Arabidopsis thaliana: one gene and its partners. The protein of the gene in region 1 interacts with the protein of each later gene in a pairwise test. Each region holds a gene or a part of one and is shown in the gene's direction. Other genes may lie near its edges. The genes, in order: MBD11, bZIP52, NAC012 and MYB112.

Region 1 (4,123 bases):
CCATTCTCATCCAAATTTTGTTTGTTATTGAAAGTTTTATCATTGCAGGAAATGGTGCAGTTTCTTGTTGAAGTTTGGGAAGAAGAAGGTCTATACGGCTAAAAGATTCTTTTTTACACATTTACAATTGTAAAGAGAGCTGAGAAAAATATATACACCCAACAAAAAATATTTGTTGATGGATCAAATTTTATAAAATTCTCTTGATTTGGAGTAATTTCCACAAAAATGTTTTTTTTTTAAATTGTCGTACACGTGTATGTCTGAATCAGAAACCCCTTAAATAAAAATGAGTTCTTAATTTTATCGTCGAGGAAAAATGGCGATGGCTTTGTCCAACCCGACCACAAGCACTAACCTCTACCACTACTCAATTCTCTCGCCGTTCTCACCGCCGTATCACCTTCACCGTCGAAACACCGTCCTACTAGCGAGTCCCCGCCGTTTACGCCGCCTCGCCGTCGCTGGTGGTCCTCCTTCTCCTCCAGGCCCTGATCCGCCTCCGCCTGAGGACACCACTCAGCTAGAAGGTTCGATTCTTCTTGCCCAGATTGATATTTTGGTCCTTTGAATCCTACTTTGTTTGGTTGGTCTTTGTTGTACTTGCTTTTCAGTTTTCACTTTAACTGTTGTGTTTTGGGTCGAAAGTTTCAATTTTTATCCGATAGTTTGATATAAGTATGGAGTCTTTTAGGTTAGTACTTGGTATTGAATCGTGCTGAGATTGTTATTGTATCATGAAACTTCCAAAACATGAGGATGATTTCATCCAATTAGTTGTTGTGTCCATGGAACCAAAGTTCAAATCTTGTGACATGATTTTGGCTTAGGCAATTAGGATTGTGGAATTTACTCCTTATGATTCAAAATGGCTACCATTTTATGTGGGGATTTTCTAAATTTTCTCTTAAGATGTAAAATTGTGCAGTAGTTGTATGTTCATTGGTTCTGCAATTAGTCCATATGTTATGTTGAATAGCTTGGGTGATGATTCCTTTATAACATAGAAGGATAGGCTGGAAATAGAAAAAACTGCACTCATGACTGATACTAAGTGAAATGAATACTCTTGTTTTCTTTTTCTCTTTGTAAAGGTCTTGTGGGAGCTGTGACAAGGGTTCAAGACCGCGTAAAGATTTTCCTCGCAGTGTTCTTTTGGATGTTTCTCTTCTTCTGGGTTACAGTCACAGATGGGACGGGTAAAGGCAAAGGCAAGAAGGGTTCACGTTTCAAGTAGTTTCCATATATGAAGAGGCTTTGGTGATTATCTACTACTCTATACTGTATATATATCAAGACTTCAAAGAGATCAAATTACCTGTATAAACTTCACCAAGTAAGCATCTTCCTTGTACATCACTTATTCAGATGATAATAGGAAACAATAAGATCGTGTTATCTTCTTGGTTAATGCTAGTGATATATAGTACTCAATTCCTGATTCTTTCCCAGTCTCCATCTGATCATGCTTAAAAAACGGCGTCGTTGAGCAATAGGACTCAAGACATGAATGGGCCTAATTTATGGGCTTTAAAGAGTTTAAACCACAGTAACGTTCTGTTTTACCGGACTCCAAAGCAATACTCCATTAGAGTTTTTTTCCCCCAAAATGGAGAAAAGTCGTTAACTATTTGGCACGTGTATTGCATGAGCACCAAGTAAGTCTAAATCTGCATTAAATGCGAACATCCGAGTCGACTTAACACCTTTTGATCAAGGCTTTAACGTGTCGTTGTTACCATAGAATATAGATGATAGAGCGCATTTTATATCACTGGATATAGACACGTGGTTAAACTTAATTGGGTTGTTAGTTAAGTTGTTGTGCTACCTCCAAGTGACTTTATCATATACTCTGTGTGTTTCTGGTAGTAAAAAAAGGTCTAAAACCATAGTGTTAAGCAAAAGAGAAAAAGAAGAGCAGAGCAAAATCCCTAAAATTTTAAACTCTGTTTTGCTTTCCGACAATCAAACCCTAGGTTGTCTGTTGCTTCATTCGTGTAAATTGTTAAATTTTTTGTTTTTGTTTTCTTGGCATTTTGTGGTTGATCTTTCTAATTTGTTTTCAGGGGTTGCTAAAGGGAAAGGAGAGAGATGGGTGGTGAAGAGGAAGTTGTTTCTGTTGAGCTACCAGCACCTTCTTCATGGAAGAAATTGGTTTGTTTTCTTTGTTTCATACAAAGACTTAGAATTTGTTGTATATGTGTAGTGCTGCAATTACCAAATCTTTTTCTTTGAAGACTCTGAATATGGTAGCTTTTGGTGGCGAAATGTTAGTATAAGTGTAAATAACTTTATGTTGATTAGGTGATTCAAAGGTTATAGACTTAGAAAAAGCCACATTTGATTGTGTTTGATCTACTATTTCTACTTCTTTGTTCTTGACTTAATGCCTCATTTTGACTATGTTTGATTTACTTCTTACTTTTCCCGATTCTTATGGATTTTAAGCCACTTGTAAACATTGTTTAAGCTACATTAAGGTCTTCTTTAGAATTTAATCTTTCAGCGTTTTGAACCTCAAATTTTCATATTTTCAGAGGTTTACATTAACTGACTTGTTTTTGCAGTTTTACCCCAACAAAGTGGGTTCAGTGAAGAAAACAGAGGTTGTGTTTGTGGCTCCAACGGGTGAGGAGATTAGTAACAGAAAGCAGCTGGAGCAGTATCTCAAATCGCACCCTGGAAACCCCGCGATCGCAGAGTTTGATTGGACGACTAGTGGGACACCTAGGAGATCTGCAAGAATCAGTGAGAAGACTAAGGCTACGCCGTCACCAGATAAAGAGCCACCCAAGAAGCGAGGTAGAACCAAATCTCCAGTGTCAAAGAAAGATGCAGAAGGTGAGAAATCAGAGGGAGGAGGAGAGGAAAACTCTCATGTGAAAGATACTGAAATGAATCCTCCAGAGGGAATCGCCGAGAATGAAAATGTGACCGATAAGAATGGCTCCGGTGAAACTGAGAGGGTGAATGATGCAAAAGAAAACATTGTTGCTGAGGAAACTCCAAATGCGGCTCCAGTTCAAGAAGAGGGTGAGTCGATGAAGGAGAAAGCTCTGGATTCTGTTGATGATAAGAGTAAGGAGACTGACAAAGAAAAAGATACTGGCTCAATCGAAAAGAACTCGGTAGATGTAGAGAAGAAGACCGTTGAAGCTAGTGATGAGAAGAAGAATTCTGAAGCTGAGACCAGAAACCATGAAGAAAATGGTCTGACCACAGAAGCTGAGGGGAAAGAGAAAACAGCAGAAGGAGAAGCTACCGGATAGCCCTGTTCTGCTCTGCTTCTGTTAGCTCATGAAACTGTAAGTCAGTTGTTTCTATCAATCTATTGAAGTATATGGTTTCCTTTTTGCTTCCTACTCGGAGCATTATCGCGGTGAAAGGTGTTGTTAGGCTGAGATATGTATTATGAGATATGTGCAAGTTCTGTTTGGTTGTAAGGTTATGTAGAGGATATATTATTGACTCTTCTCTAAAACCATTGCAATCACTAGGTTTGATGTTTTATCTTTCTGCTACAATCTTTAGTCATTTTCGTATGGATGGACAATCAAGTTATGAACAAGTCAGATTAAAGATCCACACATAGATTAATCTTCTAGATTTCTTTTTATCATTGGTTCAATCTTCATTTGAACGCCATAAAATGGGAAACCCAAATAAAAAAATGGAAGAAAGCAGAAGAAGACAAGAGGAAAAAGGTAAAAGTTTTGCTTTGAGAGTAAAGTAAGAATCTAATGCAAAGAAAGACTTACAATGTTAGTTTTCTTATTTCCTTGATTCCATCCTTTTGCATGGTCCCAGGGACGAGGGTTTAGAATCTTTCTATTAAGGAACAACTTCATAGTATAAACTCTTATTGTTCCCATTTTAGGATTAAAAAAAAAACTTGCTCTGTTTTCAAAAACATCATTCGAGACAGTATCTCAAATGGGTTATTGTGTTCCTCTTCGAAAGTCTCCAACTTCACATATGGTTTTCTCTTCTTTCTTCCTTTCGTTTCTCTTAGTCTTCTCTATACTCTCTTCACAAACGGCCGTAGCATTCATCGGAACATATGGTGTAAACTACGGTCGCATAGCGGATAATCTTCCGTCTCCTGACGCGGTAGCAACTC
Region 2 (3,942 bases), on another chromosome or scaffold:
ACGACATTTTCTAAGTTTGACTATTTCAGGTAATGGATGAGACCGACGGAAGAGCGTCATCATAAGTTTCCGTTGCGCCGCCGCCATAACTTCACCACCTTCTTCCGTCAAAACCATTCTACTTGCTATTTTTCTTCCTTTGTTTAATGATTCCTTGTCTGACCTGTCTTTGACCTTTTTGTCGTTTTTTTAATCCTTTTTTAATGACAGTAGGTAAATCTCTTGCCAGGTGCGATGAATTTCCAAATATTGTCAATAAAGTTACCTTTTTATCCCACCTTGATTTTTTTTTTATGTATTAATTAAAATTTAAAAACGTATACCATTAGCAAATAGTAGCAATCATTGGTATATTGGAATCATATAGTATATGGCAATTTGGTCATCGATATCGTATCTTTATGTGCATTTTGGCCCCCACGATACTAAAAGTCACGAAATTTTCCAAAGTATCGACTTTTATTGGAAAATGGTGCTGATTATCAACTGATTTGTAGAAGTGTGATTAATTACCTGTAGTCATTATGATTTTCTTGAACAAAAAAAGAAGAAACAGAAGATGTATGTCACTATGTCGTATCATTACGAGAGGGAAAAAAAAGAAACAGCTGGAATAAATTACTCAAATAAGAAAAGAAATACAATGGGCACTATTAAAAAGCATAGACATGAGCTATATATTATTTATGTTTAGAGAAGAACTTTCCAACAGAATTTGGTTTTAAAAAATACCCGTTAGGTGACAATAAATGGGAGAAACTATATCTTAAGTATGTTCATTATTTATATATAAAAAAAGGGAGAATCACAATTCACAAGTATGTTGATAAATAATAATAAAACAAAAAAAAAAAAGACAAAAGAAACTTTAGCTGGTAAAAGTAAGCATCATTAGGTTTTTAATTTGAATCACTATTAAATGATGCCGGTCCACTACTTGCGTTTAAGACAATTTAGAGAGACTTAACTAAAAAACTTATTACTTAAAGCGATCAATACGACCATCTTTTTAATTATTTTGACCGGTAAACAAAGTGATGCCCAATTGCCAATTTAAGAGAAGGCCCAAAACATCCTCCTGTCCACTACAGGCGCATTATATGCTCGAGGATTTCTTAAAACAAAACAATACTTGTCTTCTTGTATGGGCCTGATAATTAAGGCCTCCGTATGATTTAGATCCAACCAATAAGTATTTTTCACTATAAGTGAATTTTACTTGTTTCCCAATCCATAGATAGTTCCATACCAAGTTACCAACTTATTATCCCACAAAACATTCTCTCAGACTCTCAGTTCATACAAGGCTTTCTGCCTATTTTTTACTTGTTAAAATTTTGACTCAAAGATACAAAAATATACACTCAGACGTGGGGAGATGTAATGCCATAACAGCTTAAATTAATAAATTTCGTTGAAGCAACTACAGAATCTTGTAATGAATGCTACAAAGAAGATTTAAAGTTAAACAAATTTAAATCATGAAATCGAATAATTAAATAAAATACAAAGAAAAAGGAAAAAAAAATAAAAAAAAAAGGGAGGGAGACAAGATGCTGCGATGGTTCACGTGCCAATGTGCCTTTTACTTTTCATCAACTAGTTTTCTTTTTAATTATTAATAAATCAACTCAATTTCGCAATTTTATAGTTAGTGACGTCACTTCTCTCTCCTCACAGAGTCGAGTTTCTCTCCTACGCTCTTCATTTCATTTCATTTGATAGAGAGAGAGAGAGAGAGAGAGAGAGAGAAAGAGCTTCGTCTTCTTCATCTCCATCATTATCTCCATTGACATTGTTCTCAATTGCGAATAATAATCATAATTATTCACACAACCAAAGCATTCATCTCTCAGATTCTCTTAAAAAAATGGAGAAATCAGATCCTCCACCAGTCCCAAAGCCCGGCGCCACTATTATCCCCTCCTCCGATCCAATTCCTAATGCCGATCCGATTCCATCTTCTTCCTTCCACCGCCGATCTCGCTCCGACGATATGTCCATGTTCATGTTCATGGATCCCCTCTCCTCCGCCGCACCACCTTCCTCCGACGACCTTCCCTCCGACGACGATCTCTTCTCTTCTTTCATCGATGTCGATAGCCTCACCTCTAATCCCAATCCCTTTCAAAATCCTTCCCTCTCCTCCAACTCCGTTTCCGGCGCTGCTAATCCTCCTCCTCCTCCTTCCTCTCGTCCTCGCCACCGTCACAGCAATTCCGTTGACGCTGGATGCGCCATGTATGCCGGTGATATCATGGACGCTAAGAAAGCTATGCCTCCTGAAAAACTCTCTGAGCTTTGGAACATCGATCCCAAACGCGCCAAAAGGTCCTTCTTCTTCTTCTTCAAATTTGTTTCTCTTTCCACAGAATTGAAGAATTGCAATGAAATTAGGGATTTGATTACAGGATTCTAGCGAATCGACAATCTGCAGCTCGATCCAAAGAGAGAAAAGCTCGATACATTCAAGAACTTGAGCGCAAAGTTCAATCTCTTCAAACCGAAGCTACCACTCTCTCTGCTCAGCTTACTCTCTACCAGGTTTCCATATTCGGCGATTCCTCGTTTGATCCCAACAGAATAGGAAAGTTCTTTCCTCTGTTTTACATACATAGACAGATCTTGATTTCAATGTTGTTTTGATTGATCCAGAGAGACACAAATGGACTAGCAAACGAAAACACAGAGCTGAAACTTAGGTTGCAAGCAATGGAACAACAAGCTCAGCTTCGTAATGGTAAGCACAAAAAAAAAAGAAGCTAATTTCTTTGTATGCATTTTGGTGCATTTCTTCAATATTTGCTTTTTGATGTTACAGCTTTAAACGAAGCGTTGAGGAAAGAAGTTGAAAGGATGAAGATGGAGACAGGAGAAATCTCTGGTAATTCAGATTCGTTTGATATGGGAATGCAGCAGATTCAGTATTCTTCCTCAACTTTCATGGCTATTCCACCATATCATGGCTCAATGAACCTCCATGATATGCAGATGCATTCTAGTTTCAATCCTATGGAGATGTCCAATTCTCAAAGCGTGTCGGACTTTCTACAGAACGGCCGAATGCAAGGGCTGGAGATTAGTAGCAATAGCTCAAGCTTAGTCAAATCTGAAGGACCTTCTCTCTCTGCTAGTGAGAGTAGCTCTGCCTATTGACGACAAGATTATGATGAGGCTCATTTTTCTGTTAATAGGTTTTTTTTTTTTTCAATTCATTTGATTCACTTTTGATTATTTATTCTTTCTTTTTTTTGAGGTGCCATTGTGCAAGAAAGGACGTACGTATACATTTGTGTTGGTTATGTGTCGTGAGTTTCGTTGTTTGCTATTCCCATTGTTTGTTCTTCAAGGAACAAAGGAGACTAATAAATTTCATTTTTCTTTTGTATACAATGATGTTTGCTACGTTTTGTTTTATTTTACTAGGAGATGGAGATGTTTAATAAGTTCATTCCAATTGGGTTAATAGTTTGATTTTGGGATCAATGATTTTGATACGACAACACCAAGGCAGTTCCTCAGTAGCTTCTTCTCCAAGACACCCTCACATCCGTCATCCCATTAGAGTTTTGAGACAACTTCTCCCAACCGGACTTCTCCATGAGACAAAATTTCCCAAACTTGGAGTCGGAGTTGAAATGAGAGACGAAGCATTGAGAGATTAGTTTTTGAGACTCTGTAAGACTGTTAACGAAAATATTCGACCTTTGAAAGACATCTAACACGATTCAACCTTTAAGCAAAGACCCATTGTTGGAGAGAACCAACAAAAGTTCCAACCTTTCCAAACTGAGCTAGCAAGAACAATAGAACATGCATAACAATAAGAACGTGGAGAGTTTAGAACATTGTTACCATGTTATCAGACGAAACATCTACTCTCTGGACTGTGGACGTCCTTGGAGAAGCTCGGTCTATTTCGCAAAATAACTTCCAAAAAAA
Region 3 (4,184 bases), on another chromosome or scaffold:
AACATGTTAGATAAATTAAATATTCTTGTTTCAATATATATCAACTTTAGTGTAAAAGCCTTAACATTCTCTTGAATATTTAATTTATTTCTCCTTATTTCGATTTAATGACAAATGTGAATTAATTTTTGTGATATTTTTGTTCGAAATTAGTTTTCAGTTAATAACATACATGTGAGCATGGGACACACATGATTTAACAAAAGGGAATGACGAAATGATATATCAAAATATTAGTATGGGAACAAATTACGAGGTGAAACTTCACACTCAACTCAATTAAAACTAGAATAAAGAAATGGAAAAAGTGAAAGAATGAGAGGTCAAATGTGGTTAATCATTATGTGGTATTAGTTAATCCATCAATTGTGTACCCAAAAGCATGATTAAGCATAGAATTTAGAGAAACAAAACATCATTATTAATGTTGAAACACAAAGATCCCATCAACAGACAAATGATAAGTACAGTGCATGTAGGGTAACAACTTTTATGTACATGTTATATACTTATATTATATAATAAGAAAACGATTAAAGTGTCATTGCTCCAGCCTCTATTTGTAAATCATATTATATCAGTATGCTTAATTCCAATAATTAAGTCCATAACTAAAATATATACACATATATGTATGTTAAATGGTTGAATATATACATATATTTTCATAAACAAATATTGCTAATTAATTCAGTTATTTGTGTACATAATCCAACTATCACCTTTTTAGCTGGAAGTGGATATTCCAACATGTCAGTCTGTCACTCCCACATTCATACTCTCTATTCTTTTTAGCTATTTCAATATCTACGGTTAAATATTAATGGCTATATAGCCTTACCCTTCATTTTAGTTTTTTTTTGGTATTCGCATAACCATCGAATACTCAAACTTACTATGTAAGATGGTCTGAATAACTATTTCCGATTTAAGATGAATAGCTAGATTGAAATATACATGCACTAATTGGACATGCACTAAAGGCAGAGGTGAATTAAATGATGAAATGAAGATGAAGTGTCACACTTGTGCAAAAAGCATGTCCCCTGCTCTTCTCCGCTTGTTTCAATTTCTTTGACTTTCATCACGTTTTTGTCACTTAAATACACCAAAAAATATAGTACAATTAAACATCGAAAATCGTCCAAAAAGAAGAAAAAAAATCATGGAAAGTTCTTTCGTTAATGTTACACACATTATCTTGATTAGGTGACACCAGATATTAGAATAAAAATGATAGATTATGAAAAGAAAAAAAAAATTGATGTATTTTTAGGATACATCGAAAGGAATGAACATACCAAAAACATGGGAAAAAATAGATAACTAATTAACATGGTAGAATGTAGATGACGTAGATCATGAAACGAGTGTGTGATATATTAATGAAAATTATTTTAATATACGTAGCTATATTAGAAAATAATTTACATTTATTTTCTTCTAAACAAATCTATACTTTATATTTACATACATTAGTAAAGACCAAAACACATGGAATTCAAATTCTGCAATAAGTAATTGCAAGAAAACACAAAGATTAATCCCCCACTAAACCCGTTTATTTACGTTAGTATTTTTCCGTTTTATACATTACACATGACATGACATTACACGTCAAAAGAAATATGTCTTACGTCAGAACTTACGTATGATCAAACTCGATTTAAACATAGAAACATCTGTTTACTAAATTATACTAATTTCATAAAGACACTTTAATGCATGAACTTCTTTGTTTAAATAACAATTTCCCCCTTTTGGGGGCTATGTCTCGTCGAGTCCTACCACCATTATAAATTATCTCATCGTTTGCTTTCTTTTTTTTAAGTTGTAACCATTTCCACTCGTAATCATACAACTTCTCTACTCTTCTAGAGCAAAAACCCAAAAATATATTGCTATCTTCGTTAATGGCTGATAATAAGGTCAATCTTTCGATTAATGGACAATCAAAAGTGCCTCCAGGTTTCAGATTCCATCCCACCGAAGAAGAACTTCTCCATTACTATCTCCGTAAGAAAGTTAACTCTCAAAAGATCGATCTTGATGTCATTCGTGAAGTTGATCTAAACAAGCTTGAGCCTTGGGATATTCAAGGTTAAACCCTAAATATGAAAAAAAACTCTTTCATTTCTACGAACTCTCTATTTCTTTGTTCTTTATTTTTGAACCATTTTGGTATGCAAATGCAGAGGAATGTAGAATCGGTTCAACGCCACAAAACGACTGGTACTTCTTCAGCCACAAGGACAAGAAGTATCCAACCGGGACCAGGACGAACCGGGCAACAGTCGCTGGATTCTGGAAAGCTACCGGACGTGACAAAATCATCTGCAGTTGTGTCCGGAGAATTGGACTGAGGAAGACACTCGTGTTCTACAAAGGAAGAGCTCCTCACGGTCAGAAATCCGACTGGATCATGCATGAGTATCGCCTCGACGATACTCCAATGTCTAATGTAAGTATATATAGCAATCATCAATTTGCAGTTTAGGTTAGAATAAACAAATTACAAACTTATAGTCAAAGAATTAGCTAGATTCGTTTCATGCTATAAAAGGTTTTGGTTCATTTAGTACGCACTAGAGCCTTCTTTTAGCATCTGCAATTAAAGTAATCGAACATGATTCTCTGAGTTACAATAAGATAATTTCTTATGAAATTAACACATCATATATACATTTATATAAAAAGATTTTTTCACAAGGCTTAAAATAGTTTAACACGGCTCTACAAACAATACGTAGTTAACTAGTTATGGTTGCATATCCAAAAGAAAAACCAACATAAAAGATTTTTTTTTTTGTTTCAAAATAAAAGTTGCATTTTTACATCATCAAGATTTAATCATCTCTTATTGCATTTCATAAGATCGATTTGTGTTCCATTATCAGGGCTATGCTGATGTTGTTACAGAAGATCCAATGAGCTATAACGAAGAAGGTTGGGTGGTATGTCGAGTGTTCAGGAAGAAGAACTATCAAAAGATTGACGATTGTCCTAAAATCACTCTATCTTCTTTACCTGATGACACGGAGGAAGAGAAGGGGCCCACCTTTCACAACACTCAAAACGTTACCGGTTTAGACCATGTTCTTCTCTACATGGACCGTACCGGTTCTAACATTTGCATGCCCGAGAGCCAAACAACGACTCAACATCAAGATGATGTCTTATTCATGCAACTCCCAAGTCTTGAGACACCTAAATCCGAGAGCCCGGTCGACCAAAGTTTCCTGACTCCAAGCAAACTCGATTTCTCTCCCGTTCAAGAGAAGATAACCGAAAGACCGGTTTGCAGCAACTGGGCTAGTCTTGACCGGCTCGTAGCTTGGCAATTGAACAATGGTCATCATAATCCGTGTCATCGTAAGAGTTTTGATGAAGAAGAAGAAAATGGTGATACTATGATGCAGCGATGGGATCTTCATTGGAATAATGATGATAATGTTGATCTTTGGAGTAGTTTCACTGAGTCTTCTTCGTCTTTAGACCCACTTCTTCATTTATCTGTATGATTATCTATACATACACATACACAAAATATAAAATAAAGTTTGTTAAAAAATGTCTCATGTTCTATTGATAGTACGTCTTGATTTTGGGGTTTAACATTTGTTAATGGTGGAGGGTAATTTTTTTATAATATTTATAATCATAAAATTTACGAAGTTAAAGAATGATATTATATACAAAACTTGAATAACGACTCTTTCAATTGCTTACTAAGCTATTTTAGAAGTCATTACATTTAGTTCTTTATCTTTGACTATTAAAGCTAAAAGATGTCCAAAAAAAAAAAAAGCTAAATGGTAGAACTTTTCACATCCCTCATCTTTCATTCTACATTTCTTACATGCCCACTATTGAATTTGAATCCAAATTATGATACGAAGATTGCCATATTTGTACAACCACGAGAATATATGTTTATCGCTTAAATCTTTTGTATTTGCGAATCATAAAGCCCATAGGCCATAGTGAGAGTTAATATTCGGTAAATTTGTACTTTGGTTCAAACGCACATGGTGAATCCGTATTTTATAAAAAACTTTCTAAATTAATAATGAGTTAATGACAGAACTATGATGTATATGTTAATTTATAGTAATATTATTTTTTCTATAAATTTCAAATCTCAAATTTTTTAATTGTATTATCATTTAATATTTTATCTTAAA
Region 4 (4,741 bases), on another chromosome or scaffold:
TGAGTTTATGGTTAGAGACATGGGTTAGGTTAAGCTTTACTCGATTTAGAGTTTTGAGGTTCGCTGCATCTTGCTTTCATGCTATCAAAGCATTTTTATATTGTTACATTCTCTTGAGTCTTTTTTTTGTTTTGTAATCCTTTTCTATTTCTAATTAAAAAAACTAAAATTTATAGCTAAAACCATTAAAAAAAAGTAACCAAGAGTTCCGAAACTAAAGAAAACCCAAAAAAGTTAGTAACTTCAAAAAATTTAACTAGTTTCTTTCATCAATCTGTATTTATATATGTTCTAACTTTTTTTATCAAAACCAAACCGAATCTAAACCGTAAGTCAAAATAAATTAAACCAAAATTGCATCAAATTGAAATCATGACTAAAAATTACTCCTTTTGTCCCTTTTTATTGATTTTCTAGAAACAATCACAGATTAAGTAAACATATTGATTTAATTTTTGTGATTTAATTTTTTAATAATTCTAAACTAATGATATTCAATTATTTGTCTTGAAGTTTAAAATTCATCAATAATAACTAATAAATAGTGCATAGAAACCTAAAAAATCAATCTTTTTGAAACAATTTTGTTTCTCTAAAAATCAATTAATAAAGAATAGGGGGAGTATTATTTTTGAAGTATACTTTAAAAAACACCTTTATTTTGATAAATATTAACAGAGAATGTCATTACTTATATTCATGTATTCAAATAACTTTACTATTAATTTTTATTATCCGTATAACCAAATCAATTGATTGTTTTTAACATTAACTATAAAATTTGAAATATACATATAATGTTCCAAAATTAGTAATACATATTAAAAGATTGTGTTAAGAATTAAAATAATGATTCGCAATCATCTTTGTTTGATTTTGTTTTCTATTTGTTTTGAATCATCATATAAAGTTAATAATAAACTATTTTCTACCTATATTCTGATTCAAAATTTTAGAATTAGACATATATATTACTTAAATAATAAAAAAGTGTGTTCAACGTCTCAATTTCACATGGGCTAAAATGTTTAGAAAATGATTAAGAGTCATGTTATAAATAAATCTAAATCTAAATAAACAAGAAGTTTAACTTAACAAGTATCTAAATTTAAAAGTTTGTATATGGTTTAATTCTGTTTTTAATTGAACTGTTTAATTTTACTGGATATAGTAAATTTTAAGCTTTGAAAGTTTTGAAATATTATAATTGATATATTTAAACTCAGTATAAAGTTTAAAATAAAATGAATATATATAAAAGTCTAAAATAACGCAGTACATGTTATATTTTGAGACTGGGTATATGAAAAATGAGTTTAAATCGACATTAAAAAAATTAAAAGTATCATTAACCGACATTATAATACGGTGAAATTCTCATTTTATTATTTGATTAACATCACTAATATTAAATATGTAGAATTACACTAATTTAGTTAAGATTATGTGAAAACAAAATTGTCCCGTGTTATATTGAGGGTTAAATTCTAGTTTGGTTTAATAAAAGGAAACCTGAATCAAAACTAAACAAAATTATATACTACAGAAAAAAGGGTTTGTTGCATCAACTAAATTATATCGATAAATAAATGATGTTAATTTAAATTACTTCTTCGGTTACTTTTACTTACTTGATAGCTTATCCAACTCTTAACTATAGCATGTGCTTAAGGAGAAACTAAGAACTCTTATACTATTACTTAGAAATTATTATTTTGCGAAAATTCCACTAATATCTTCGGGTAATAATTTATCTATTAACATGCCGATTTCAAATGCTTGGTATTTATTTATAATATATACAAAACAAAACAAAAAAAAATCTATAAAACCCACCCTGAAAACTCGATCACTTTATGTCCATTCCGAGAACTCTCTCCCTCATTAATTAAAATCTTTCTCAGAGCAATCTTCTCACAAGTTTCTAAGAATCTCAAAGCATGAATATAAGTAGAACAGAATTCGCAAACTGTAAAACCCTTATAAATCATAAAGAAGAAGTCGAAGAAGTCGAGAAAAAGATGGAAATAGAAATAAGGAGAGGTCCATGGACTGTGGAAGAAGACATGAAGCTCGTCAGTTACATTTCTCTTCACGGTGAAGGAAGATGGAACTCCCTCTCTCGTTCTGCTGGTAACTTCTTAAGCCTTTTGCATATATATATACAGAATATGTGATCATGCATGATATATAATATGTAATGCGTAAATCGATCGATTCAGATCAATTGAAGTCATCATAACAAATCCTTATATGCCCATATCATATCTCTAGAGTGATTGTTAAACTATCATTGATTTGAATGGTTAAAGTTTGGTATTGAAGGATTCTTTATATGTCAAACAAGTAGTCCGTTTTTGTTTTTTAAACATTTAGACTGAAACTTTTTTTTTTCTTATTAGAAATTCGTTTTGGATTTTGTGGATTTTAATATGATCATGTGAAGTTTAGTTTAGAGTTTATTTATAACTAACTGAAATTAAATGGAGTAGATATAAAAACTCGTCCACATCTTATCAATATGTTATTCAATTTCTATCACATCATATGTGAGTGATATACATATATGAATGTGATTTTTCGTAACTATGAGAATACTTTTCTTATGGCTGTGACTTCTCCATGTCGGCATAATTTAAATTCCTCTGTAGAATTGGTAAAGTAAGAAAGAACAAGTTGACATATTCATAGTTCATTATTATCATTAAAAGTGTACTTTCGTATGAAACAGTTTGGTCGGTCCAAATTTATTTATTTTTTCCTTTGGAGTTCTTTTCATATTAGCCTTTTGAGTGTGGAACTCAAACACCTTTCCCAACCATCCAATTCCATACAGCCTCATGGAATTGTTATCTTTATTGATTTGGGAAATTGTACTAGTGTCCATATACTATTGACTAGTGTACATTCCAGTTAATTCATGTTTTTATACTAATTGTATTTATATTGAAATCATTTACTATTGAGACAGGACTGAATAGAACGGGGAAAAGTTGCAGATTGCGGTGGCTAAATTATCTCCGGCCGGATATCCGCCGTGGAGACATATCCCTTCAAGAACAATTTATCATCCTTGAACTCCATTCTCGTTGGGGAAATCGGTATGAAACCTTTATTTATATCGACATAGACATAGTCATATTGTCGATACATTACTTAAAATAGAAAAAGGGACACATATCGTTGAAGAGAGCAAATTTGGAACGTCTCTATGAAATAAATAACTCGTTATTCAATATTGTATTAGTAGATAATTGACAAAATCAATTTGATGCGTATTTGAAATTTCTTGGTTGAATTGTGGTTACTATATGAAACTTGTATCATAGTTGAAATTAAGGTACACATCAACGTCTTTTTTTATCAGAGTAACACTAAAAAAACTGATTAATCTAGTACTACAATAGAACTTATAAATAATTAAACCCTCCGATTCATTATAAATAATATTTTTAGCAAGAGTCGGTTTTAACAAAAACAATTAATATACGTACAAAAAGTATATTAGAAATTTAATATATTTTTTGTATGTATAAATGATTCTAATAAAAAACGGAATGAGAGTTTAATTACGATGTTCTATAAAATTAATCGTGTTTTTAATAATGGAGTTAGTTTTGATATTTTTTCTATTGTGAAGGTGGTCAAAGATTGCTCAACATTTACCGGGAAGAACAGATAACGAGATAAAGAATTATTGGAGAACACGTGTTCAAAAGCATGCAAAACTTCTAAAATGTGACGTGAACAGCAAGCAATTCAAAGACACCATCAAACATCTCTGGATGCCTCGTCTCATCGAGAGAATCGCCGCCACTCAAAGTGTCCAATTTACCTCTAACCACTACTCGCCTGAGAACTCCAGCGTCGCCACCGCCACGTCATCAACGTCGTCGTCTGAGGCTGTGAGATCGAGTTTCTACGGTGGTGATCAGGTGGAATTTGGAACGTTGGATCATATGACAAATGGTGGTTATTGGTTCAACGGCGGAGATACGTTTGAAACTTTGTGTAGTTTTGACGAGCTCAACAAGTGGCTCATACAGTAGGCATTTCATGGGTTTATTAATGAATGTAATGTATAATAAACATAAACTAATCATTCAAAACAAAATTAAAGGTTTTCCGGGTTTTTTTCCATTTTTTTATTGGTTTAATTTTATTGTGATGTATGATTTTACAAAACAAAAAAAAAACTGCTTAATTAATAATATCAAAAACATATATATTGTTACACAGAAGCATGATTTAGATAAGACTATAAGAGCAAAGAAGAGAAAAACAACAACATGAGTTTAGCAAAAAGTTTATGTGGTTCCTGGTTCATTTAATAACTCCCATACGATCACTTATAATCTACCATATATGATCATCAATTAAGTTTTATAATATCACCGCATTATTAAAAACATTATGAGTATTTGATAACATATCCCAAAGAAATTCATTACATACTTATTTAACTAATGGGTTGAAATAGAGATTGATGCATGATGTGTATATGAAGTGAACATCAAATAATTATTTTACTCTAAATAAATTATTAATTTGGATTTGGCCCTCTCATCTAAACTCAGAGTTGAAGTGTTCATGAAATCTTGCATGCTCGAGACAATGAGACATATTGCTTAGAGCACTTAAAGATGGTATCAACTCTTAAAAATATGCAAGTAAAATTTCGTCGTCTCAAATATCATTTTTTAAAAATAAAAAAAAAACTTTAGTTACATACATGTTGAAT

What was found.
Region 2: the proteins of MBD11 (region 1) and bZIP52 interact in a two-hybrid assay, tested with the Arabidopsis thaliana proteins (one large-scale study listed by BioGRID).
Region 3: the proteins of MBD11 (region 1) and NAC012 interact in a two-hybrid assay, tested with the Arabidopsis thaliana proteins (one large-scale study listed by BioGRID).
Region 4: the proteins of MBD11 (region 1) and MYB112 interact in a two-hybrid assay, tested with the Arabidopsis thaliana proteins (one large-scale study listed by BioGRID).

What each region holds. Positions count from the first base shown.
Region 1 is NC_003074.8:5,341,115-5,345,237, forward strand, and holds MBD11 (methyl-CPG-binding domain 11), read left to right. Parts: upstream 1-1,597; 5' UTR 1,598-1,658; intron 1,659-1,682; exon of another isoform or gene 1,683-2,069; 5' UTR 2,070-2,094; coding exon 2,095-2,157; intron 2,158-2,570; coding exon 2,571-3,272; 3' UTR 3,273-3,586; downstream 3,587-4,123. Other genes in the region: AT3G15770 (uncharacterized protein), read left to right, coding at 49-102; AT3G15780 (uncharacterized protein), read left to right, coding at 320-530, 1,095-1,237; AT3G15800 (Glycosyl hydrolase superfamily protein), read left to right, coding at 3,937-4,123. UniProt on the Arabidopsis thaliana protein: Transcriptional regulator that binds DNA independently of its methylation status. Required during plant organogenesis and development.
Region 2 is NC_003070.9:2,103,363-2,107,304, forward strand, and holds bZIP52 (basic leucine-zipper 52), read left to right. Parts: upstream 1-1,685; 5' UTR 1,686-1,870; coding exon 1,871-2,331; intron 2,332-2,411; coding exon 2,412-2,544; coding exon of another isoform or gene 2,545-2,646; intron 2,647-2,655; coding exon 2,656-2,740; intron 2,741-2,821; coding exon 2,822-3,156; 3' UTR 3,157-3,387; downstream 3,388-3,942.
Region 3 is NC_003070.9:11,864,680-11,868,863, reverse strand, and holds NAC012 (NAC domain containing protein 12), read left to right. Parts: upstream 1-1,709; 5' UTR 1,710-1,913; coding exon 1,914-2,100; intron 2,101-2,195; coding exon 2,196-2,461; intron 2,462-2,897; coding exon 2,898-3,521; 3' UTR 3,522-3,635; downstream 3,636-4,184. UniProt on the Arabidopsis thaliana protein: Transcriptional activator of genes involved in biosynthesis of secondary walls. Together with NST1, required for the secondary cell wall thickening and lignification of sclerenchymatous fibers and secondary xylem vessels (tracheary elements).
Region 4 is NC_003070.9:17,703,577-17,708,317, reverse strand, and holds MYB112 (myb domain protein 112), read left to right. Parts: upstream 1-1,857; 5' UTR 1,858-1,940; coding exon 1,941-2,133; intron 2,134-2,971; coding exon 2,972-3,101; intron 3,102-3,640; coding exon 3,641-4,049; 3' UTR 4,050-4,186; downstream 4,187-4,741.